2 linked regions of the Coturnix japonica genome follow. The protein of the gene in region 2 binds, or shares a complex with, the protein of the main gene of each other region. Links are inferred from orthologs where the notes say so. Each region holds a gene or a part of one and is shown on either strand. Other genes may lie near its edges.

Region 1 (11,844 bases), on a different chromosome or scaffold from region 2:
GACATAACTATGGACGCTATTGCGCAGATCATCCATGATTGTGACACCTGTGCCATGATCAAACAGGCCAAGAGGATGAGACCTCTCTGGGGGGAAGGGCGATGGGAAAAGTATAAATATGGGGAGGCATGGCAGATTGATTATATCACCCTGCCAAAGACTCGTAATGGTAAGCATTATGTACTCACCATGGTGGAGGTAACCACCGGGTGGCTTGAGACATATGCGGTACCCCATGCCACTGCCAGAAACACCATATTAGGCCTAGAGACACAAATCCTGTGGCGACATGGCACCCCAGAGAGGATCGAATCAGACAATGGGACTCATTTCAAAAATTCACTGGTGAGCACTTGGGCCAAAGAACATGGCATCGAGTGGATCTATCACATCCCCTATCACGCACCAGCCGCTGGTAAGATCGAGCGCCACAACGGTTTGCTGAAAACCACGCTGAAAGCAATGGGTGGTGGAACATTTAAGAACTGGGAGAAACATCTAGCAGAAGCCACCTGGCTGGTAAACACCCGAGGATCAGCCAACCGAGACGGCCCTACACAGTCCAACTCCCTGCGTACCGTGGAGGGAGACAAGGTTCCTGTGTGCATGTAAAGAATATGCTGGGAAAAGCGGTTTGGGTCCTTCCAGCCTCTGGAAAGGGGAGGCCCCTCCGTGGAACTGTCTTTGCACAGGGACCTGGGTGCACCTGGTGGGTGATGCAGAAGGATGGGGATGTTCAGTGTGTGCCACAGGGAAATTTGATGCTGGGGGAGTGCAGCCTGTGATTCCATGTGTGTATATATATATATATATATCTGTATGTACATATGTAATGCATGTTAACTACTGTTCTGTTTATATGTTGATAAAAGTTAGGCATGATGTGATGATGTGTAATAAGGGGTGGAATGTTATGGTTTTGCAATTTGGTTGGTGTTGGTATTCCACATCAGAACACCATGCTAATAATGGGAGTAAAGGGGACAAGTTTTTTTTTCTGTGAACTGCCTTAATGAGCATGTGGGGTGGGGCACCGGAAGGGAAGTGAGGAAGGGGACGGCGTTGCTGGACCGGCTCCCTGCGAGGAGACAACGTGGTCAGACCTTCCTGCCTTCCACAGCTCCATCGGTGAGATTTGGGACTTGGTACTCTCTTTGTTGAAACTCTCTTGTTGTTGTTTAGTGTTATTAGGTTATTAAACTGCCATTCGTTCTCAGATCACCTTTCTCCTCCCTCATTTTTTTGTTAGACCTAATCGCAATCTCCCTTCCCTTCCCCCGTCTCCCTAAACGCACGTGGCCGGGCCGCGCCGGGCCGCGCCGCACTGCCCGCTAGAGAAAAGGGGGGGGGCTTTTGTTCCTGCTGCCCCGGGTTTGTGCCCACTGTCCCGGAGTGAGCTCTAGAGAGAACTCCGTGACATGTATCAACTTCTGACATCAGCAGAAAGAGAATAGTGACAGTTCGGGTCATAGCCTTCATGGTATTTTCAAAAGCTAACGTAAGGAGAGCACTAGCAATGCTAAATGCAGGTGGTGGGAGCAGTGGCAAGGTCACAGGACGAAGAGTCAGAAAATCTAGGTTCTATTCTTGGCTCTCCTGCTGACTTGTTGCCACCCGAGTTCTCTGCAGCTCGAGATCCTCACACATAAACATAATGATACTTAATTTGGGAGAGTATTTAGAACTCGGTGGGAGAAGAGTGCTAAATATTATAATTTAATTTCTAGCCTGTGGAGAAAGCCATGAGCCAAGACAATAATAATAATAGTAATAATAATAATAATAGTAATAATTTAAAAAAAAACAACATAAATAATACTTCACTGTATTTTTGTTGATTTATTTTATTAATGCATTTAATAATTTGATATATGTAATACAAATGAAACTTCTAGAGACAGTTTGGCCTCACACTCTTATGTAACAATGCCTGCTTAAGGGGAACACATCTATAACTACTATTTTTTAAGCAATCTTACTAATACAATATTTATTCATTCAAAGGGCTCCAATTCAAACATGAAGAACAGAGATACTGGCTCACCCACTCAGGTAAATGCAGAGCAGCCAAGCAAGAACAAGAATCCTAATATAACATGGCTCTGTGAGGAAGAACCCTTCAGTGACATAACCACTTCGTCTTACAAGAAACCCCTTTATGGCATCTCACACAAAATTACAGAGAAGAAGAATGCACCGGGAGCAGAGCAGTTTACCTCTTACGACTTGTATGAAAAAATCAGCCCCAGCAGTCCCTCGCATCTTCGGACTTTGAATGACCAGCGCAAAAGGGACTCTGCTGCAGCCCTTGCTGCAGCAGCTGTTGCTGTAGAGTCTGACCCAAATATATATTCTTTGATACAGAAAATGTTCTTCACGCTTAACACTCTCAGTTCCAATATGACCCAGCTTCACAATAAGGTTGACCTGCTGTCTCTGGAGGTGAGCAGAATTAAAAAGCAAGTCAGTCCAGTGGAGTGTGTGGCAGATTTCAAGCCTCCCCCTGAGTACACGCTGACTTCTGCTGAGCTCAAACAACTCATGGATCAAAGCACGTCAGGTGGAGACCTTGCCTGCCGGTTACTGGTACAGCTCTTCCCAGAGCTCTTCAGCGACGATGAGTTCAACAGGAACTGCAGCGCGTGTGGCTTTCCTAACAAGAGGAAGCTGGAGTCTCTCCATCTGCAGCTTATCCGTAGCTATGTGGAAGTCTGTTATCCTTCTGTGAAGAGTACAGCTGTGTGGCAGGTGGAGTGTTTGCCTCAACTCAACGATTTTTTCAATAGATTTTGGGCTCAAAGGGAGTTGGAAAATAACCCACAGAATGTGCAATCCTCCAGTTTTTATGAGACTGAACAGGTGGATTCCTCTCATTTTCTTGACGATAAAGAGCAAGAAGAAGCTTTGTCCTTGGACAGGAGTAATGCCATTGCCTCAGACTACATTCTAGATGCTCAGGATCTCAACGAATTTTTAGATGAAGCTTCTTCTCCGGGGGAGTTTTGTGTTTTTTTGTTACATAGACTGTTTCCAGAACTCTTTGACCACAGAAAATTAGCTGAAAGGTACAGTTGCTATGGGGACTCTGGGAAGCAATTGCTGGATCCTCATCGGCTTCAGATAATACGTAGGTACACTGAAATTTACTTCCCAGATGTACAGGAAGAGGAAGCTTGGTTGCAGCAATGCGTTCAGCGAATAAATGAAGAACTTGAAAATGTGTATATGGATGGAAGTGAATGTGATCAGTTGAGAGATGACTGTTACGACTCTTCTAGTTTACCAGATGACGTATCGATCATAAAAGTGGAAGACAGCTTTGAATATGAAAAACCAGGTAGACGCTCAAAAAAAATATGGCTTGTGCCCATTGACTTTGACAAACTTGACTTTCCCCCTCCTGATTTTGATGTCCCTGTTCCCGATTACCTATTGAACAAAGAACAGATCAAAAACATATACGAAAGCAGTCTTTCCATAGGCAACTTTGCCTCTCGGCTGCTTGTTCTCTTGTTTCCCGAGCTGTTTACTCATGAAAACTTACGGAAGCAATACAACTGTAGTGGGTCTTTGGGCAAGAAGCAGCTTGATCCCACTAGGATTAAATTAATTCGACATTACGTGCAGATACTGTACCCAAGGGCAAAGAATGACAGAGTATGGATGTTGGAGTTTGTTGGGAAGCTCGATGAGAGGTGTCGGCGAAGGGACACGGAGCAACGGCGCTCATACCAGCAGCAGCGGAAGGTCCACATGCCGGGGCCCGAGAGGAGGGAGTTCCTCAGCTATGCAATAAACCCCGAAAGGTTTCGAGAAGAGTTTGAAGGGCCACCATTGCCACCTGAAAGGAGCAGCAAGGATTTTTGCAAGATACCACTTGATGAACTCGTTATTCCTAACCCAGACTTCCCTGTGCCTTCTCCGTATTTGCTGACTGATAAGGAGGTAAGAGAGATCGTACAGCAGAGCCTTTCTGTTGGAAACTTTGCCGCCAGGCTTCTCGTAAGACTGTTCCCAGAACTCTTTACTCCTGAAAATCTCAGACTGCAATACAACCATTCAGGTGCTTGTAACAAAAAACAGCTGGATCCCATCAGACTGAGACTGATCCGCCATTACGTGGAAGCGGTTTACCCCGTGGAGAAAATGGAAGAAGTATGGCATTATGAATGTATACCGAGCATTGATGAAAGATGCCGGCGTCCTAACAGAAAAAAGTGTGACATACTGAAAAAAGCAAAGAAAGCAAAGAAGTGACAGGCTCTTTGAATTCCTAAGACTTTGACCACTAAATTATTGTCAGGATTATGCTTTGTTTCAGACTGAAGGGCCTGTCGGGCTGGGGCTGCTCAGCATCCGAGAGAACTAGGCACTAAGTTTGTTGCATTTTAACGTGTGTGTTGCATCTATGTGGGCACTGCAGCAGTGGGAAGTGGCTTACTAGGTTTGTACGTGGGTAAAGATCCTAAGTCATTGGTGACAGAGCTCTTGATGACTCATTAAGAGCATGGCTTTCACTGGCGCAAGTACCATGTACTGAAACTCTACTATGCCATTCCCCATTTCTGCATTTCTTCCTTTTTTAACACTTTTTAATAATAAAGATTTTTTTTTTTTTTTTAAATGCGGTGCTCGTCAGGGGCAGTATTTCATTTCACCCTTATACACAATCATGTTCGTTCATTTGGAGTTTGAAATTTAAACCTCATGGAAATCTACAAAACTAATGCTTCTTGAAAGTACCATTTTCATTGAAATCACAGCTTGAATGAGTTTTGTTCTCATTGATACTGGGATGCTGGAAATAGTAATACCACGTCCAAGAATGGGTCAGAGTGGTGTGGTTTCAATTTTTGACTGTTACTCAAGTTTTGTTTCTAAAAATTCTACGAATATGAACTATTGGAGAGTTGAGACGTGAGCATAGACAGCGTGAATGTCCCTTTCTGTTGGCACCCCAAGCTTAATCATGCCCCTGTGAGTTTTCTTTTTTGCCCAGTGTCACGGTTGGCATGACTGAGGGTGGCTTGTGAGAGTAGAGCCAGCAGCACAGACCCAAACCCGCACCTGTGGAATGTATTGCCACTGCCTGCGCCTGCCTGCTTGCCTCTCTGTAACACAACAATAACTAGATAAGCAACACGGACTTCAAAAACTTTTAGAACTTACTGTGTCAAAATGACAATTCCAAAGGTTTCCAGTATTAACATCAAATTGCATCAATAAAAGTTACCCGCAAAGATCAGTTTTGGGATGGAATGAAGTGCTATGAGGTTCCCATGAATGAGCTGTGGTAATGTAACTCACTCTGCATCATCAGAATGGCACCATCTGGATTTTTCAGATGTAGAGGGATATTGAGCTCGCTCACTTAGCCAAATTGATTTAGTGTAATTAGTAGCTATTTGGAGACATAATTGTGTATGTATAACTTAGATTCATATGGTCAAGTTTGCATCAATAATATGTTCATATGTAACATAGGCCACCTAGAACCCACTGTGACTCTGCTGTATGATTTGTCACTGGAGAGCACAGCTTTAAAACAGCTTTCTCCTTTTTTTTAATGGCGATGTGAATGATGTCAGAGAGTGTCAGATATGCATTTTTGAGTCAGTAGAGTCAGCGACTGCGTACTGACCATCGCTGGAACGCCTCGGAGCAATCGTTGATGTTCCCTGTGGTCCTTTTTAATTGTTCCTAAATGGCTCGTAGCGTATCAAATTTGAAATCTGTTCCAGTCTAATTTTCTATTTTAGCATTTGTAAGAAAATACAAAATACTCGATATTTTTACTTCGGATTTTTAGAATTTATTGTTCTTAGAGTCATATTGATCTCTCCCTTTAAAAAGCAAAAGAACGTTTGTTTTTTTCCTAATGGCAAGTACTAGCAAAAGGATAGTGTTTAAAGCCAGGAGTAAGCAGTAATAGATTTGCATTTGCTCATCTTCCCCACGTGCTAGCAACATCCTCAGAGAATGTATGAAGAAAGTCATGAATGTATTAAACGATACACTGAGACTGTTTGTGTCCATCTAAATGTTTTCCGCTGGTTTAAATAATAGCAGACCACACGCAAAATGGATATCGGAGCGAATGTGTCTAAAATAAAAAGAAAATGTTTTTACCAAAGATAAAGAACCGATACCGCAATGTCTGCATTATCTTTCATTTCAGTGCATAAATTTAGCAAGTTGAATGTGCCAGAAACAGACCTTCTCTTGTAATTGTATGCTACCAAGCGCCTCTGTGAAGTCTTCTACATGCACTTGTATGGGAGATATAAAACCACAGAAAATACCAACAACCTGTTGCAAATGCCCAACCAGATGGCAAGAAATGCAAAGTGTGGCTTTCCTTTATACTTTTTTTTTTTTTTTTTTTTTGATTTTGATGTCATAAATGTTATACCACTAAGTGATGTCAAAGCTCCCAAAGAAGTCGATGACGTTAAACTGTTGTAGCACTGGCGGGCGTTACTAGATAGCATGTGAATTTAGGACGTACTGGGTTTTACTGTAGATGTTGTCATTCTGTCCTGACACATCAAAGATCAGGCCGTTTATATTACATACTGATGAGTGAAAAAGCGATTTTCAGCTTTTAAAATGGCATTTTCAAAAGTGGGTACAGAAAGATCCTTGCTGGTTTTTCTCTTAACTTACATCTGATGGTTGTGTACATTCCTTTGTCTCACTGTTCCCAGCCTTTCATGGTTTGACTGTATGCTTTGTGAAGAAAAGAGTGACATACAAGTAGTGACATGGGGTCACTGGAAAAAAAAAGCTCCTGCAGTGCATCCGAAGTACAGCCACTTCATCCGGTTGGTCTGTCCTGTAAATAAATTAAAGGTATATTATTTTCATACAAGAGGAATGTTGTCTGGTGATTGCCTGAATACAGTGACACGAGCATATTCGTGTCCATTCCCTATAGAGGCTGTTTCTAAGAGCCAAGATAATCTCAGCAAGTCGGGCTGAAGACAGAAATGAAAACTCCCTGCTTTGCTGCAGCCGTTTTTTCTGCCTTTCAGATGGTTTTTGTTCAAAGGAGCAAACTTGGCCCCTTCAAAACAACAGGAAGATTGCTAGGTGTTAGCATATCTGGAACGTACGTAGCCATACACACACAGACTTCCTATAGACTGGCGTTGCCTTCTGCCTATCAGGTCAGCACAACCTGCTGAGGCGAGTATCGTGTCCCTATTGACATACAGCTTAAATATCTCACCTCTTAACAGCTTTCTGAAAGGAACGTTGATACACCTCAGCTCTCTATTTTTCTCTCTTTCCTAGCCTGCACAAATTAAAACCTTTTCTTAGAAGCTCTGTAGAAGATGTAAAACAATACATCAAAAGGGAGATCAAGCACACGTTTGTTTACTGCCCATTAACTGCATTCAACTGGCTAAGAAAACAAGGTTTCAGATGAGGAGGATCCTTATGCTTAGGAAGTCAACCACTCTGTTATCATTACAGCCCCCAAATGTTTCATGTTCTAAGAAATGTTCTCACCTGTTCTTTTTCCTGTCCTCAGGTTCATGTAGTACACTCTCTTATAGATACATTTTTTGAGCGTCATTCATCTCTTTGTGAATTGTTATTTATGTGCAGCAGTGGGAAACAGAACTGTATCCTCAACACTCTAAAAAGGGACACTAATTTTATGCTGGAAGGAGTGCTACTAATTCTACAGCCCCAGGAAATACAGAAAAGAACGTGCAGGCTTTGTTGGTTATTTAGCTTTTGTTTCAGAGATTAAAGGGTTGTGAAACAGCTGGAAAATGCAATGTCTGGGGCTTGCCTGTGCTGAGGTAACAGCAGTGGCTGACAGGTGTTCTCACAGTGTGCAGTTCTGTTGATTGCATTTAAAATCTGTGGTAGGGCAACGTGGCAGGTTCACATCTATGGTTTTCCTGAGTAAATAGAATTCTGCCATTGTCACTGACAAAGCTTCTTCACTTCCTCTGTGTGACTTCACGTGTTTTTTATGGTTGCTCTGGCCATTCAGATGGCACCGATGCAGGTATATTTCTTGTTGTTTTTAACCTTGTTCTGGGGAAAAAGAATGCACTTGGAGCTGTTTAAACGAGTTGCTGAAATGAGATGCTTTAGTGCCCTCTCTTAGGGTTGTCCTTGGTAAGGCTGAGAAAAAGAACAAAGTCCCCTTCCAGAAGTCTTTGTTCTTCCTTCCTAATTGTCCCAACAGAAATAATGAGAAATAGCTAATATTTGCAGTGCTTTTTAAGCCCTTGCTGTTACCCTCCCTGTTAAAGACATTGTTCATGTTAACCTCCCACCAATAGTGATGGTCTTAATTTCTTATGGGCTACACGGTGCTCATGGTCATCTCTGTGTAAGCACTGCTTTGAGAGGTGGTCTTCCACAGCAGAATGCTGGAGCAAACTCCAGATCAGCATCCCATCAGATCTGGGATACTTTCCTCGTACCTCATCTGATGAGCAGGGCGTGAGCCCCTGTGCTATATCATTTTCATCCAGCATATCCCGTTTTATTTTTGTCACCTTCTGAATGGCATTCCTACTGGTTAGTGATTGCACCATGAGAAGCCTGTTGGTGCAGGCAGGCTGCTGCTTGCCCTCTTTCCTGATTCACTTCATGATGTGGCTGCAGCCCCCTCTGAGCGTTTTTCTTTTCATTAATGGCAAGCTGAAAGGCCTTCGGTTCTTATGGGAAGAGCTGTAACAGAGATGAAATAAAGCTGTTCTGCAGAATGCCACATTTTCCCTGCCCCAGCCTTCCCCCTCACAAGAGAAATGTGAATATTAAAAAAAACAAACTTGAAGAGTAAACCATAATCAGTTAAAAAATGGGCAAAATCACCACATGTCCAATTGTACAAAGATTTGCATTAATAGACGTAAGCAAAACAAATGGTGATTGCCAAAGACTGGAGGAAGATCACCTCATTAATATCTCCCCCTACACACAAATGTCAGATAATCATTCCCCATTTCCTTCACAAATCTCATTATGGTCAATCAGCGGTTTGTCACCGTTAACAGGCGCGTTTTGTGGTGTCGTGCCTTGGTGCTGAAGCTTCCCTGGAAGGGAAAGCATTCCTCCCATCATGACACTTTCAGGAGCGGTAACTTCAGTTAGCTCCAAGGCGGTGCATTAGCATGGTCTGCAAAGGTTCCCTGTAAAAAGAAAATGCCCAGGTGCATGGGAGCAGCAGGAGTCACTCGATAGGATCACGTCCTATTCCTGAAACACAGAACATCCAGGAGTCTCTTTCTGTGGCAGATAATGCTGTCCTTTGTTCCTCTTGCATCTGCTCTCAAGAGTTCAGAAACCTGTGTGTTCTCCTTGGAGTGCTTGTCTATAGGTACACTGGATGCTCCAGTATTGGAGATGAATTTTAAGTTTCAGCGGTGCTGTTTGTGCTGCTCTCCCTACCATACACATGGACTCTGCACCCCTTTCCCCATGAGGGCTGTTGCAGACCAACCATCATGTTGAGTCCTGTATTTCACAGGAGCTGGTGGTTAACTGTTCTGATGTGCCATTGCAGGAGAAAGAAATACAATCCAGGAATGCTTCAGTGCTATTCTTGTCCCTGTGGAAAAAAATAATTGCCTGTTCTTTTGTGGAGCAAGTTGGAGGTGAGTGATTAAAATCCCTTTTTGTTGATCTGCAGACAATAGAACTGAGAGACTGATGCTTCTGCCAACTGCAGCCCAGTTCTGTGAGCATTTCCCTGCTGTCCTCCCATGGATGACCACAGATCCTGCTCTGCAAGGCAGGCTGGCCTCCATGCAGCACACACTGCAGTGTGGGAAGCATGCAAAGCTATCAGCTCATCCTGGTGCCATGCCGGTGCCACGGTTCTGTATGGGCAGTCTGACAGTGCCAGGCAGTGCCTTCTGAACTGGATCCGGCTGTTGCTTTATCAGTGTGTACCAGATATACCTGAGTCTGATACCTTACATTTGCTTTGTGAGCAACAACTTCTTGCCTGCCCGCTTAGATATCAGGAACATGCTAAGAAAAGCAGCCTGCTGTGCACTCCTGCTGCTTGATCTGGGCTGCCCTCCCCTCTGGGCTCTTCTCACTTGCTAAGGAGCAGACCGTGGGCTGAATGAATGCTCCCACCTGCACACACACACACTTGGATGCACAGATGTTATACACTTATAAAAATTCTGTCTGTGCCACAGCTCAGAGTTTGTTGTTTCTGTTGAAAGAAGTGTATGTTCAACATTACAAGCGTGGGTGATTACTCAAGACACCTGCTCCCAGGCAGCACTTCCCTGCAGTAATACAGGCGTGTACTTCTAATCACAGCGTTGTCTGATCTTTGGTCAGATCTCTACAGCCACTTAAGTGATAAATTCTCCTTTAAACACCACGCTGAAATCAGTATGCGGTAAAAAACAACATCTCATTTTCTTCTGTTACCCGTGTGCCTCCTACCTGAGCTGCCTTCTCCATGAGAGAAGAGGGGATCTCTGCCTTTAATCCTCGGTCATTGTGAAGTTTCCTACTTGTATTACATCAACATACATGAAAACACAGTTGGTATTGTTAACCAGGATCAAATCAGTAATTAAAAAAGGAAGCAATACGTATGTTACGTATTTACATGTACGTATATATAACATAAAAAAAACAAACTGCGTAACGAACCTGGAAATAAAGCTAAGAAAGCAGCGCTGCTTGTGGCGTCAGCTCTCATATAACCTGATTAACAGAAACCAGGCAGCAATTAAACAGTGATCAAATTCGTCTTTATTGAGTCATTATATATAACATCTGTAAGGAAACTGCCTGGAGATACGAGGGTAGAGTATTTTATCCCACAGTATCATGAAACAAAACTAACTGCAAGAAGTGACAGCCGTTTACCACAGGAGCATTGATGTACACAGCAGAGGGAGATATTTCTAACACGAGCCCTTAAAAAGGGTACTGTCATTTTGTTTAACCAAAATTCTTATTTAACAACAAACAACACGGTTTTCTGCAAAATAAAAATCTCATGCTGCCACGTGCAACCCCCTGCTACTTCAGTACGTCCTGTTTGGGCACCTTCAGGTTTTTCCAGCGCCTTAAAATTACTCTGTATTTTTCACTCTCAGTCTTGTCAGATACTTTTTTTAAGACTACCCGCATCACTACAGCAGTTCCTGTTTCTTTATCTTCACCTATTAAGAGATCCAGCGTGTCACCAATTTTCACCTGGAAATAGAAAGAGAAGACGAGCAATCGTAAGCAATGTCTGGAGAAAACAAAGTCCCACAGTCGGGGCCACATTAATATTGCTCCTTTCATGCCATTTGTTCCCCTGAATCATTCAGGGGAGGAGGTGGGAAGGCTACTCCAGACCCACTACAGATCCATTCTCCCACTGTGAACTTTTAGGAAAGCCCCGGCATTAAGCAACTAAATGTCTCCTCGTGACCTTCTCTGTCAGGAGTTTTGCCCTTACTGAATTACAGCCAACGCCTAACTCTGTGGAAAAGGTATCGTTCAGGTTTATTACCAAATAGGGCTTCCTGCCAATCTTCTTCTATCAACACATAAAAAGCAGCCAAATGCAAAGTTCTCCTTCCTTTCTTAGGAGCACCTTCAACTGAATAGTGCAGCTCAACTGTTTGTGCCCCCTTGCAAAATCCACAACAGCAATTTAAAGACGAGCCCTAACTTGAGGGCAATGGGAACTAAAACTTCTCTCCTTACTTGCTGTTCACCACAGTAATGCCACCTGGATCCCCCTCACCTGAAGGGTACTTAGAGGTATGCTGGTCACCATCTGGGTGAGCTCTGTTGTGACTGAACATGGCCAGCTGGGCCTGCAGCCCTTTGGCTGAGTGTGTTGTG
Region 2 (12,351 bases):
TGGAAACGTGGAGATTTACTCTGGGGGCCGGTTGGACTGGAGGTTGCTTTGGAAGAGCCACAGACCATTCCTGCTCATCTTCTAAAGCATCCTCCCTGCTGCACGGGGAGCAGGCGCCTGCTGTCTGCAGCCTGTGCCGTGACCTCGGGCCCCTCAAAAGCCCCTGACAATGCTGCATTCCAGAGAGCTCTTCAGCCCTTAGTGCAAACACAGACTCCCCACCTCCACCATAGGACTGAAGCGCCCTGCAAAAGCGGGGTGGTCTTGTGCCTCCTGGAGACATCTACAGCTTCCATTGCTGGAGTTCCTACAGCTGCTGGCCAGACCTGGCCAGCTGTTGGGGTGGAGGGCTGTGCTCTGACCCTCACCCACAGGACTCCTGCACTTTCCCAGTTTCTATGCCCGGGGCTGCACCCCACTGCTGTGCCTGTGCTGCTGGTTCTGCCACCATCCCCCTGGCACAAGCAGGACCCCACAGACCGTGTGCTGGAACTGCAGCAGAAGCCACAGTGAGGAGTGGTGGGGCAGGGATAGCCAGAGGGGTGGGGGCTGAGCAGAAACACCATCTCTCCTCTTCCTCCAGGTGAGAAAAGGCCAGACAGTAACTAGCAGAGAAACAGAGTTAGGAAAGCTTCTGGTTTATTTCTTCTCACATTTCTGCAAGCTCCCATGTACCCCAGCCTCCCTGCAGCAGGGCAGAGCAATGGAGCCGGGGCTGAGCAGCAGTGGGGGCACAGCCCCGGGAGACAGGGGCGGTTTGGGCACCCAGCGCCCTCCCAGGGAGCACCGCCTCTGTGGACCTGCCCTGTGCTGGAGCTGAGCTCTGAGAGCCTCTGCTCTCCTCGGTGGTTTGCTTTTAACCCCTCCTGTTACTCGCACTTGCTCCCTTCCCTCTCACGGGACGGCAGATTACAGCGATAAATTAGGGTCTGGGCTGAGAAACTCAGGAAAAGAAGGAATTAAAAAAAGAAAAGAGGGTAAAAAACAACAACTCTAACATATCTCCGTGCTTCACCCCAACCCTGCGGCACCCGGGAAGTTGGAACCGAGAAGGCCGCAGGCACCAGAGCACCACCTGCAGGCCCAAGCACCCGGCGCAGGCCTAGGGGCTGGGGGCAGGCCTAGGGGTTGGGGGCAGGCCTAGGGGCTGGGGGGCAGGCCTAAGGGTTGGGGAATAGACCTAGGGGGCAGGCCTAGGGGCTGGGGGCAGGCCTAGGGGTTGGGGGGCAGGCCTAGGGGCTGGGGGGCAGGCCTAGGGCAGGCGGAAACGGGCGGGCCCAAGGCCCAGGGGAGGGTCGCGGCGCAAGGCGTGCTGGTCGGCGTTGAGCGCGGCGGTCCTGCGGCGATGGCTCCGAAGGGGAAGGGAGGCGGCAAGGCTGGCAAAGGTGAGCGGGGCCGGGGGAGGGAGGCCTGCAGACCAGCTCTGGTGCCGGTATCTGCGCTCAGAGGCCTGGCCCGGTTTCATGGCGTTGTTCGCAGGCGGTGAGAGCAGCGAGGGCAAGGCCCAGGGCCCAAAGGGCGGTGGTAGCGCCGTGAAGGTGGGTACCGGTTCCCCCTCCTTGCCCCCAGTGCCGGCAGCCCTCGCGACCCGCCACGGCTCCCTCCTCCCTAGGTCCGGCACATCTTGTGCGAGAAGCACGGCAAAGCCATGGAAGCCATGGAGAAGCTGAAGGCCGGGGTGCGCTTCAGCGAGGTAGCCTCGCAGTACAGCGAAGACAAGGCCAGGCAGGGGGTAAGGCTGCTCCTAGCTCAGCACTGCCCTGCGGCCATGACAGGTCTGCAGCTTAACCTTGGTGGTTCCCTCCTGCAGGGAGACTTGGGCTGGATGACCAGAGGCTCCATGGTGGGACCATTCCAGGAAGCAGCGTTTGCCCTGCCGGTGAGCAGCATGGACAAGCCGGTGTATACAGACCCCCCTGTCAAAACCAAGTTTGGGTACCATATTATTATGGTGGAAGGCAGAAAATAAAATATGAATGACCGTGGAACTCACGACTGCTTAAATTCTGAGCGTTTCCCAGGCACAATTAGAAGCATATTGGTCATAACCACAGGGTGCTTGGAGACAGCCAGCCACTCCTGCAGGACATGCAGATCACAGCCAGCAGAGAACAGGGCCCCCTGCACAGAGAGGTTTCCTGAAAAAGGTAAAGTAAGCATTCCCTGAAAAAGGTAAAGTAAAAGTTGTGTGTAGTTGTTGAAATCTGCATCAGTTTGTAGGCCAGCCCCTTGGTTTTCCAGCTAGAGAGATGATGATGTACAGCTGTGAAAACTCAGGCTGCAAATATAGCCAACCTGGAAAGGGTAAGGGATTGCCTAGAGCATTTGCTTTTATCCTCACCAGCAAGGATGCAGGCAGCTCAGATGCTACAGGTTCAGCTCCAGAGTTCAGACTTAACATGGAAGAGCCTCCCATTGTTAGATGCCAATCTAATGCTACTACTGCAGCTCAGGGTCACTGCTCTGGGCAGGCTCCATGTTCTTTCAGTCAGCAGTCTTTACCAAGACTTGGAGGTATGAAGTATGTGCCTAAAGCCTAGTAAGGTGCACTTTGTCCTTCTGGTAAAATGGGATAAGTGACAGTGTGACTGATATGAATGAGATGGCCCTGTATGTCCCTACCTCTGGCATCTCAGTAATAAATATCCCACTGCATTCATCTTCTGTCTGCTGAAAGATGACTTAAACTGGTGCCGTCTTTGCTGCAGGTAAGCATGCCAGTATGTCTGCAGGCTTAGGGATGAGGGCAAAACATCAAATAGAACAAAAGGTCTTCCCACCATCAGACACAGTGAAGAGGTAAGGCTGAAATCAGGTCAGGTCTTTCTCCCACCCTGCTTTTGGGGACATTTGTTTCATTATGTTGAGAGAACAGAAGGTTTGTACATGCCAACCAGCATTTTCAAAGCTCGTTAATATTTTGTTATATAAGGCAGACAGGCCTTTTTACAGCATGAGCAGATGCGGACCCATTTAAGTGATGCTTTATTAATAAACTACTTGTTTCCAGGCTACCAGGGCTTTGTTTTACACCTATTAGCAAAAGCACATTGGTACATCTCCTGTACCAACAGGACCGCTGTTTGTATTTGGCATGTCATCTAGTAGAAAGAACTCAAATTCTCATGCCTAGGCCAAATTTAACTCACCATGGTGGCAGAGGGGGAAGTCAGATGAACAAGACATTGCTGAAAGCTGGAGTGAGGTTCTTGTGACTTTAAACTCAGATTCATTGTGCCTATTGTACCTTGTAAAGAGGTTTTCTGTGGTACTGTTTCAGTACTAGTCCTGATGCCAGGCAGATGTTTGCTGCTATAAATCCTCCGAGCAATGGAGGCCAGCATGCCGTCTCCCTCCACCCCAGGATGTTCATTCTCAGACCAGCTTAAATCCAGGTTGGGGCAGTTCTGTTCTCAGCTTTGTACCAAGCACTTGGTGTGCTTAAATAGCAGGGCATGGTTCAGGTAGGCAAATGGACTTTATTTACATTGAGAAGGAGAGGGACTGCAGCAGTTGGAATTTAGACTGCAGCAAGCTAACCACACCTTCAGCTTTGTGAGAGTCTCTCCTGCTAGATGAGAAACTGAAGGCCAGAAACACAAATCCAGAGTTGCGTTTGAGTACAAAGATAGGTATTTTAATTACATGAACAGGAACGTGAACTTCTTAATGAAATGAGTCCACAGTGAAATTCCTTTCCCAGCACCAAAAAATGTGACAACAGGAGGAGTTGCTGGATTTGTTCACTAAGCATGACTGAAAGTTTCATAACATGAAAGAAATACATATTGCAGCCAGTCTTAAGTTTATAAGATCAGTATAGTTTAACATCAGTATAGTTTAAACAAATATTTTGTGAAAAAAGTTAAACTACTTAACAAAGGTAGGCATGTTTCATTAGACTGTTCAAAGGTTTACATTTCATTTCTGAGCCATCTGTCTGTACAAGTTTAAGGTCATAAGCATGATTTCGGGATCTCCACTTTTTATATCAAGAGCTTGCAGGAAACAGTTCAGTGCCTCTTGTAGTTTTCCATTTTCCTTCAGATTCTTCCCTCTGTCCACCAAAGCATTGTAAGTACCTGAGCGAGGAGAGGAACTCTGACCAGTAGAGACGCTTTCCTGGGTGCAGTACTCCACCTGTTCATCTGACTGAAGCTCAGCATCACCAGTGGATTCCTCCTGAGAAGACTCTGTCTCATCTCCTTCAGACTGCAGACCCTCTATATGGAAGGACTCTCCAGTTGAATTCAGTGTTTCTCCAGCAGGTTCTTCTTCAGGCTTGACAGACTCCCCACTACACTCTTCTGCTTCTTCTTCTGCAAAGCCTTCTTGCTCCTCATCGCTGTTTTCTTCTTCACCTGTGGTTCCCATGATTTCACTAATATCCTCAACCTCATCCACCACCTTGTTGATGAGAGATCTCCTGGAAGCTGTAGACCTGTTACTGCTGTTAGTTAATTTGGGAGAAAAGATGGCTTTTGCTATACTTCTTTCATTCTTAGGAGTAGATGTTTCAATTCCTCCTATAACTTCACGCTGAGGGCTGTTCAGAGGAAAGGACCTTTCATCAAACCGTTCTTCCTCCAGGTTTATAACAGAATGGTCCTCATCTTCACTGTCCGAAACAATTCTTCTCATGTGCTTCTTTCTAGCTGAAACAAGGACAGCGCTGTCTTCCCCTGATGCTTCACTCCCTTGCAAAGAGTTATTTGGATCTTCTTCAGCTGTGTTGTATGTGTTCCCAGAGTTACTTTTCTCACTTAAGCAAGTTTTTGCTGATGATTTATGCAGGCTTTCTGCTTTTAGCTGGAACTCTTCATCTTCTGGGTGCTCCGTTGATCTTTCCCCATTTGAGGCATCCTGCAATCCACCTTCAGACTCTTCCAGAACCAGATTGAAGTCAATTTGATCCTGGGGAAAAGGCATAGATGTATCCTCCGAGCTGATTTCTTGCACATGAGACTCCTGGACCTCAGCATGGACTTTTGGTAAAACATCTGATAAATTTGGTGGTAGGGCACACAAAGCTAGCTCAGAAACATCTTTCTTTTCTGTCTCTGAGACAGCAAATGAATCAAGTACCTGATCTGCTATTTCTGTGTCTTGTAACCTTTTGGAATCATCAGTCATAACAGATTCATTAGAGGAATGCTGAGAAGGCCCAGACAGGCCATTCCCAGCCTCAGTCAAGCCATGTGAATTTATATGATGAAGAGAATGTTGTTTCTGTTGAGTCTCTTTATCAAGTGGACCAATTCCAGGTGATAATGGTGTAGTGTCTGAGTCCAGATTTTGTTCAGAATCTTGTATATTGGGCTGTTGCGCTTTCTTGCCACTAGTAAGCAGCTCTATATCCATACCCGATGTCTCTTGTGCCAGTTTCTCTTCACCTAACTCAATAGTCAGATTTGTCATCTTAGAGCTGACATCGAGAACCTGGACCTCCATGTCCTCTGTAAGATCAATAACTTTGTCATTTTCACGTTTATCAGCTGCTGGTGGTGAAACAGAGTTATTTATATTATTCAACCCCGGAGACCTCTTCTTTGTCTGTGAAGCCAGTTCTGCTGGTCTCACCAATGTCTCCTCAGCAGCATTTCGAATCCCTTCCATCCTCACATCTCTGAGCTGAGACTCTAACTGAACCAGCTCATGGGCCTTCTGTACCCTCTGTTGGATGTACTGATGGGCTTCCTCACTCTCAGCCTGTTCCTCATGGGTCACTTCTCTTGTAAATATTAAATCGTGATCAGATATGCCAAACATTTCCAGAGAGTGCAAATAAGCAATGTGCTCATCCAGCTGCACATCAGTCTGTCTCTGGGTGGCATGCAAAGACTGCAGCTGGATCTGAGTTGTGGATGTTCGTGTATCTTCTAATGTGAAAAGCTCCCTTAGTTCCTGTTTGGAGAAATACCTAAACGGGTTCTTTTTGTCACCAGTAGTCTGTCTTATTAATGAATCCTTAAATACTTGCCGCCTATATATTTTCTCTTCTACTGTCCCACAGGTAATCAGCCTGTAAATCACCACATTCTCTTTCTGCCCAATCCTATAAGCTCTATCTACAGCCTGAGCATCTGTAGCTGGATTCCAACTGGGATCAAAGATCACCACTCGGTTGGCTGCTGTTAAGGTTATACCAACACCACCAACCTGTGTCGTTAGCAGAAAGACAGAATAGTCTTTGTTACTCTGAAAGGCATTAATGCGCTTCTCCCGTTCTGTGAGGTGGGTCACCGTTCCATCAACACGCATGATCTTAAATCGTCTGCTAGACAAAACCCGCTCGATGATATCCAGCATCTTTCTTGACTGTGAGAACACCAGTGTTCGGTGTCCCTCTTCCCGGAGCCTCTCTAAGAGTCCTAAAAGAAACTGCATTTTCCCAGACTCCTGGATCAGGGTCTCATCAGACAGATGGTCTATTTTATTGGCACCTGAAAGTACAGCTGTTTGACTCTCGTGATCCTGCTCCAAATACTCCTGTCCATCTAAGTCCAGCTGGGTACACGCTCTTGCAGTCAGAAGCCTGGGGTGGTCACACAGCTTCTTCAAGACAGTCAGCTCAGCCAGAGGTGATCGGGTTGTCATCAGCAGTTCTTTCACATGATCTAGACAGAGAAAGTTCCTGTAGATTTTTTCCTGCACTGGTGCCAAGTACACCCACACAACAAAGTCATTTTTCCTAGTGAGAGATGGCATGACAGGAGCGCTAGGCTCACGTGGATCCTCAGGAAGAAGAGTGTCTGATTTCTCAGCATTATTTCTTTTTATATCACCTTTAGTCCTTCTGAGGAAATATGGCTTTATAATTGTCATTAGGTTCTCAGATATCTTAAGTCCCAGTGCTTTCTCACCTACAGTTGCATCCTTCTCCCTGGCCCTAGTAATGGGATTCTCGTACTCCATTCTAAATGTTCTGGCTGTTCCTAAGAGAGAACCCTGGCATGCAAAGTCAAACAAGGACCACATTTCCTGCAGGTTGTTTTGCAGTGGCGTGCCTGTGAGGAGGAGGCGATGCTTCGCAGGAATTGCGTATACACACTTGGTTGTTTTGTTGGATGGGCACTTGATTTTGTGTGCTTCGTCAAGGATGATGTAGTCCCAAACAAAGTCCTGCCCGTGGCAGCTGGCAAGTTGCTTCCAGTTGTTAATGAGCATCTGGTAGCTTGTGACAACAATGCCGTTCTTCCTCTGGATCTTCTCCAGGTTCCTGGTGCGCTCTGTCTTGCTTGTGCCATGGAACTCTTTGACACGCAAACCAGGGGTCCAGCGAGCAAACTCAGCCAGCCAGCTGCTGACCAGGGTGGTGGGCATGATGAGCAGGACGTGCCGGATGAGCTCGCTGTCAAACATGCCTGAGAGGAAGGCGATGATCTGGATGGTCTTCCCCAGGCCCATCTCATCAGCCAGGATCCCTCCAGGTCGGCCCTCCTGGTGCAGGCGGTACAGGAAGGCAACTCCCTCCCGCTGGTGCTGGAAGAGCTTCTCGTGCATCTCCCTGTAGAGCAGCAGGCCGCTGCCGCACACGTCCACAAAGTTGCCTTCATCCCCTTCCTCCTCCTCCGCCGCCGCCAGCTCTGCCAGCGCTGCCTCCAGTCGCTGAATGCGGCCCCTCAGCTTCTCACTGGGATGGATGGCGACCGCCTGCCGGAACAGCCGCAGGGCCTGCTCCAGGTCCCCGCTGCCTGCAGCCTCCTTGGCGTCGATCACCAGCCTGCAGCACCTCCGTTAGCACCGGGACCGAGCCCCCAGTCCCGACCCTCCTCCTCCTCACGACCCCCACAAAGCCCTGCAGGCCCCCAAGATCCCTATAGCCCTTAGGCCCCACAGGCCCCCACACCGCTATAACTTCCAGTTCCTCATCCCCCGCCCCACTAACCCCCTCAATCCCCACCGCCCTCGTTCCGCAGACCCCGCAGCCCCCCCCGGCCTCTCACCGCCGGTACCGCTGCTCCTCGGGGCTCAGCTCAGCCATGACGCCGTTCCGCTGCCGCCCTGCGTTTCAAACCCGGCCCTTCCCGCCCTGTCCCGCGGCCTTGCAGACGACAGCGGCGCTCAGCCAATCAGCGCCGGGGGGCGGGGCCGCGGGCGGAAAGCGCTGTGAATCGGCGCTGAGCGGTCCTCCCGCCGCCAGGGGGCGCTGTGACTCGGAGCTCCGCGCTCCGCATGAGGGGCGGTGCGGGGTCGCCGGGAGACGGAGGCGCCGCCGCCATGGAGCCGCCCGCCGCGGCCTGGGGCCTCGCCGAACGCACCGGGAGCCGCCCGGGGCCGGCGGGGAGGAGCCGGCCGGGCGGGGGGCAGGGCCGGCGGGGGGACAAGGCGGCGGCGCAGGGTCTGCTCGGCGCTGAGCTGCGGGCGGGGCGGAGGGAGCCGTGCGTGCTGAGCTTGGCCCGGCGGGGCGGCCGCTACGGGTGAGTGCGGAGTGCCGGGCCGGGCCTGAGGTGGCTGTACTGTGGGGTGCGCTGACGGGGCAGGACGGCGTCCCTCGGGCGGTGGGTGTGCTGCTCCCGGCAGCCTTTATAGCTGTGCTGACAGCCTTTACAGTGTGCTAACAGCCTTTATAGCTGCGCTAACAGCCGTGTGCTTGCGGGGACAGGGCTGGTCCGGTGTTTTATACGGCTTCGCTCTGTCTGCAGGATAGTTATCCACTCGCAGGAGAGAGAAAACTCAGAGCCGGATTACATTCCCATCAACAGCCGCTTTAAGTGCGTGCAAGGTACGGACTCCCGCAGCGGGCTCTTTGTGGCAGCCAAATCCACTGCCGTTCTTTGGCGAAAACGGAATCTCGTGGTTTCTCTTGACCTCAGGATCTGTGTAGACTTCATGCTTCCCCTGGAAGTAAAACTTGTGGCTTATGGGCTCCTGTGCCTTCCACACCTGAGCAGGGCTGCCCTGTCTCAGCACACCTGCAAGGACCCGATGGGTTCAGGTCGCACAGAACTCAGCAGCTCTCAGCAGTGTGTTCACCTCACTGCCTGCCAGGCTCTGCATGCTTTTCTGTGCTGGCAGCAGCTGGGAGCTGATTCCTGGGTGTTTCGTTCAAAACCTCCATAAACTGCCAGGTCCAAACAGCTGCACGTGGAGTGGGAAATAACTCAAGGTGTTGTCTAGGAAGAACATTGCCCCTGGGGGAAATGCTTGTTCAGCATCTTCTCCTGGCTTAGTTTATAACCTTTCGTATAACTCGGTGTAGTTCTGGCCATCATTTTGCTGTGTAAGAGAAGCTTTCAAGTTCATTGCCAGACTGGTGTTTCACAAAGGCGCTATGACTGTCCAGATCTGTAAGAGCTCTGAATATCAGCAGTCCCCCCTGTGATGGTCCGAGCTGTCCAGATGTGCCATTCTTTCTGCTGTAGCTGTTATTAGTAGCAGAGGTGTTTCTTCCTTTCCTAGGACTTCTGTGGCTAGAAGCAAGCAATGTGCTTTTTTGAGTATGCGCTACCCACAGTATTCAAGGTGAAGTCTCAGTGCTTTTTCCTCTTCTCTTCCAGAGGCAGAAGAAACTCTGCTGATTGATATAGCTACAAACAGTAAGTTTTATAACGTGTGTTAAGCTCCTTTCAGGAAACTGTGCCCTGTTTTGGGCACTAATGAGTGCTTCTTTTACCTGCCTCCATACACTGTGTCCTTGGACCAGGAAGGGGTTGTATGTCCTCAAGTCTTTTCTGGCTTTTATAGGCATCCACTTGTCACGACACGGTCTTAACTGCCCAAATAAAAGTATTGGCAGTTGGTTAAACTTTAACTTCTTAAATCTCGTCTCGAAGCCCTGAATTGGCTTTAGAACCATTCTCATCTCCCTTCCATTTCTTTGACCTGATCTTGAGCCCCAGTTGCTATCTGCCTTTAATGGTGTGCATGTGGCAGCTCTCTCTACTCACTCATTCTGCTTTCCCTTTCAGTGCCTTCTTAGTACTTTTAGAGCTCTTCTTTGTGAGATAGCAGTGAGGAAAAGTTTTCCTAAAAACAGGAAAACGTAACTGGTGGTATTGCAGGTGGGATAAGCTCTGAAGTGCTGCAAAACTTGGTAAGGTGCAAATTGCCATCAGAAACAGTATCTGAATGTTACCTTCCATTGAAGAGCTCAGAGAATATGGAGTAATTCTATTGGCTCTGAGGGCATAACATCTGTCAAGCAGACCTGACTGTGAGTTTGTGTTTATGCCTGAAGCAGGCTGCAAGATCCGGATACAAGGTGACAAGACAGCTGAGAGGCTCTTTGAAATCCCTGATGAGGAGCATTGCTTGGGGTTCCTCTCGGAAGTGCAGAGCATACAGGAAGGTAAGCAGAGTTATCGCTGTATTCCTGAAATCCTCAGGCCACCAGCAGTATCTGATAGGGCTTTCCAGCTCAGTTAAAAGATTCTCTGCCTGAACATAAGGACTCAGCCAGCTGGCATCAGATGGAGAAGAACCTCCCAGGTCTATTGCAGGCCTCTTCTCCAAGTGCTGAAGTGGCTGTCACCCTTGCATACTCTGTGATGTGTGTATGACTGGGCCCTTGGTGGCAGGGTGCTGTGACTGATGCTGCATTTGGCACTCTGCCTACTGTACCATTTCCTTACTTCACTGTATCCCATGCAAAACAAAGCATCTTTGTCCTCTGATTCTGTTGCCCTGGTCTGTTCATTCCTTCTTGAGTGCTGTCTCCTCTCAGTGCCTTGGCTTGCATGTGTTAAAGTTCTGTTTTGCCTTGACCCTGTCACTCATTTTCTGCATTATCAGAGCTGGTGTATTGCTGTTATCATTTGTTCTTTAGCTTCCCGTGGAGCTACATTCCTTCCTTTTTCTGTTCTGAGCTGTATTAAATTGTTTTTCATGGTATCGTGCTTGGCTTTTTCTTTATAGGAGCTCTGGGGTTTGAGGATGACTTCAATGCTCTAAGCCTAGAGAAGAAAAGAAACATGCAAAACCACCAAGCAGGCTCTCGCCGGGAACCCCCACCTCCTCCTGTGCCTCCAAGTAGGCAGTAAGTAGCATGGTGAATCTCTTCCCTTTTTCCCTTCTCTTCCTCGACAGCAGAACCAGTTTTAATTCTGCTCTTGCTTCCTTTTGAGGTTTCAACGAGAGAGAGAAGGTACATCAAGAGACCAGCCAAAAGTAACCAACACCATGCGCAAAATGTTTTTACCCAACACCCATTCAGGACAAAGAGAAGGCCTCATCAAACACGTGCTTGCAAAGAGAGAGAAGGAATACGTCAACCTTGAGAACTTCAGGTTAGAGCTGTGACTAGACAGCACTGTGCAGAGAGGGTGACAAGACTTTGTAATCTCTTCTGTGAGCTCAAATCCAGCCCGGGTTTGAGATCTGACAACTGTGGATGCATTGCCAGCTTCACAGAATCACAGAATCACACAGAATCACAGAATCACAGAATTGTAGGGGTTGGAAGGGACCTCTAGAGATCATTGAGTCCAACCCCCCTGCCAAAGCAGGCTCCCTACACCATGTCACACAGGTCGGCGTCCAGGCGGGTCTTGAATATCTCCAGAGAAGGAGACTCCACCACCTCCCTGGGCAGCCTGTTCCAGTGCTCCATCACCCTCACTGTAAAGAAGTTCTTCCGCACATTCGTGCAGAACTTCCTATGCTGTACTTTCATCCCATTACCCCTAGTCCTATCCCCACTTGGCTTGGGTGCCTGAACAGGGATTTGTGCAGTCTGAAAAGAAAAGAAATGTCTGCAATACAGCTTCTCCTTTTGCGTCATTCCCTTTGTGAGTGTCAGATCTCGGGACCTTCTAGTAAGACTGAAGCAGTTGGCAGAAGGAGAAAAAAGGGAGCTGTCTCACTGCACAGCCTTAGCATCATCCCACACAACACGATTTTAACAGAGCCAGATGTTTGCTGGCCCCATTGAAATGTATTTTGTTTTTGTAGCTTTCTGCAAATTTGGTGTCACTGGAGATGAGCCAAGCCTAGGAATATTTTCAGTTACCCCATAGTTGGCATTACCCTGTGCACGGATTACTCATGTGTTCTCCCAGCCTGGATACTGTTTTGTGTGCACTGGAAATACTGGGCTCGTGCACTGGTTATTGTGTTTTCTTACAGTTCAGCTGCTTTTGTATTGTAGATTTTTTGTGGGAACATGGAATGTGAACGGGCAGTCTCCAGACAGTGGCTTGGAACCCTGGCTGGTATGTGACACAGAGCCTCCCGACTTCTACTGCATTGGGTGAGGAGCAATTACCTTGTATTTACTTACAGTGCCAGGTTTCCTACTTGGTACTGGTGTGTTGTGTTTATCTGAAGCTTCTGTTGTGTTCTCAGAGGTTCCACAAAGCTGAGTTTTCTAAAGGAGAACTGCCATTTGGTTGAGGCAGGGTGTCAAGTTAA

What was found.
Region 1: the proteins of ERCC6L (region 2) and BEND3 are in contact, whole or in part, in a crystal structure (PDB 5JNO), measured with the Homo sapiens proteins. The link is inferred for Coturnix japonica from reciprocal best matches to the Homo sapiens genes ERCC6L and BEND3. Residues at the interface, in NP_060139.2 of Homo sapiens: Ala10, Glu11, Ala12, Leu13, Ser14, Pro15, Glu16, Ala18, Ala19, Tyr21, Leu22, Arg23, Lys26, Phe51, Pro52, Asn53, Glu54, Lys55; in NP_001073919.1 of Homo sapiens: Glu252, Gln255, Ile256, Gln259, Leu261, Asp265, Arg269, Val272, Gln273, Pro276, Phe279, Ser280, Phe335, Arg338, Phe339, Gln342, Glu346.

Annotation. Positions count from the first base shown.
Region 1 is NC_029518.1:61,806,545-61,818,388, forward strand, and holds the end of BEND3 (BEN domain-containing protein 3), read left to right. Parts: intron 1-2,004; coding exon 2,005-4,257; 3' UTR 4,258-6,873; downstream 6,874-11,844. Other genes in the region: MTRES1 (mitochondrial transcription rescue factor 1), read right to left, coding at 11,026-11,202. UniProt on the Homo sapiens protein: Transcriptional repressor which associates with the NoRC (nucleolar remodeling complex) complex and plays a key role in repressing rDNA transcription.
Region 2 is NC_029519.1:1,620,912-1,633,262, reverse strand, and holds ERCC6L (DNA excision repair protein ERCC-6-like), read right to left. Parts: upstream 8,037-12,351; 5' UTR 8,036-8,036; coding exon of another isoform or gene 7,985-8,035; coding exon 7,947-7,984; intron 7,724-7,946; coding exon 3,922-7,723; 3' UTR 3,460-3,921; downstream 1-3,459. Other genes in the region: PIN4 (peptidyl-prolyl cis-trans isomerase NIMA-interacting 4), read left to right, coding at 1,346-1,385, 1,480-1,538, 1,613-1,732, 1,811-1,969. UniProt on the Homo sapiens protein: DNA helicase that acts as a tension sensor that associates with catenated DNA which is stretched under tension until it is resolved during anaphase. Functions as ATP-dependent DNA translocase. Can promote Holliday junction branch migration (in vitro).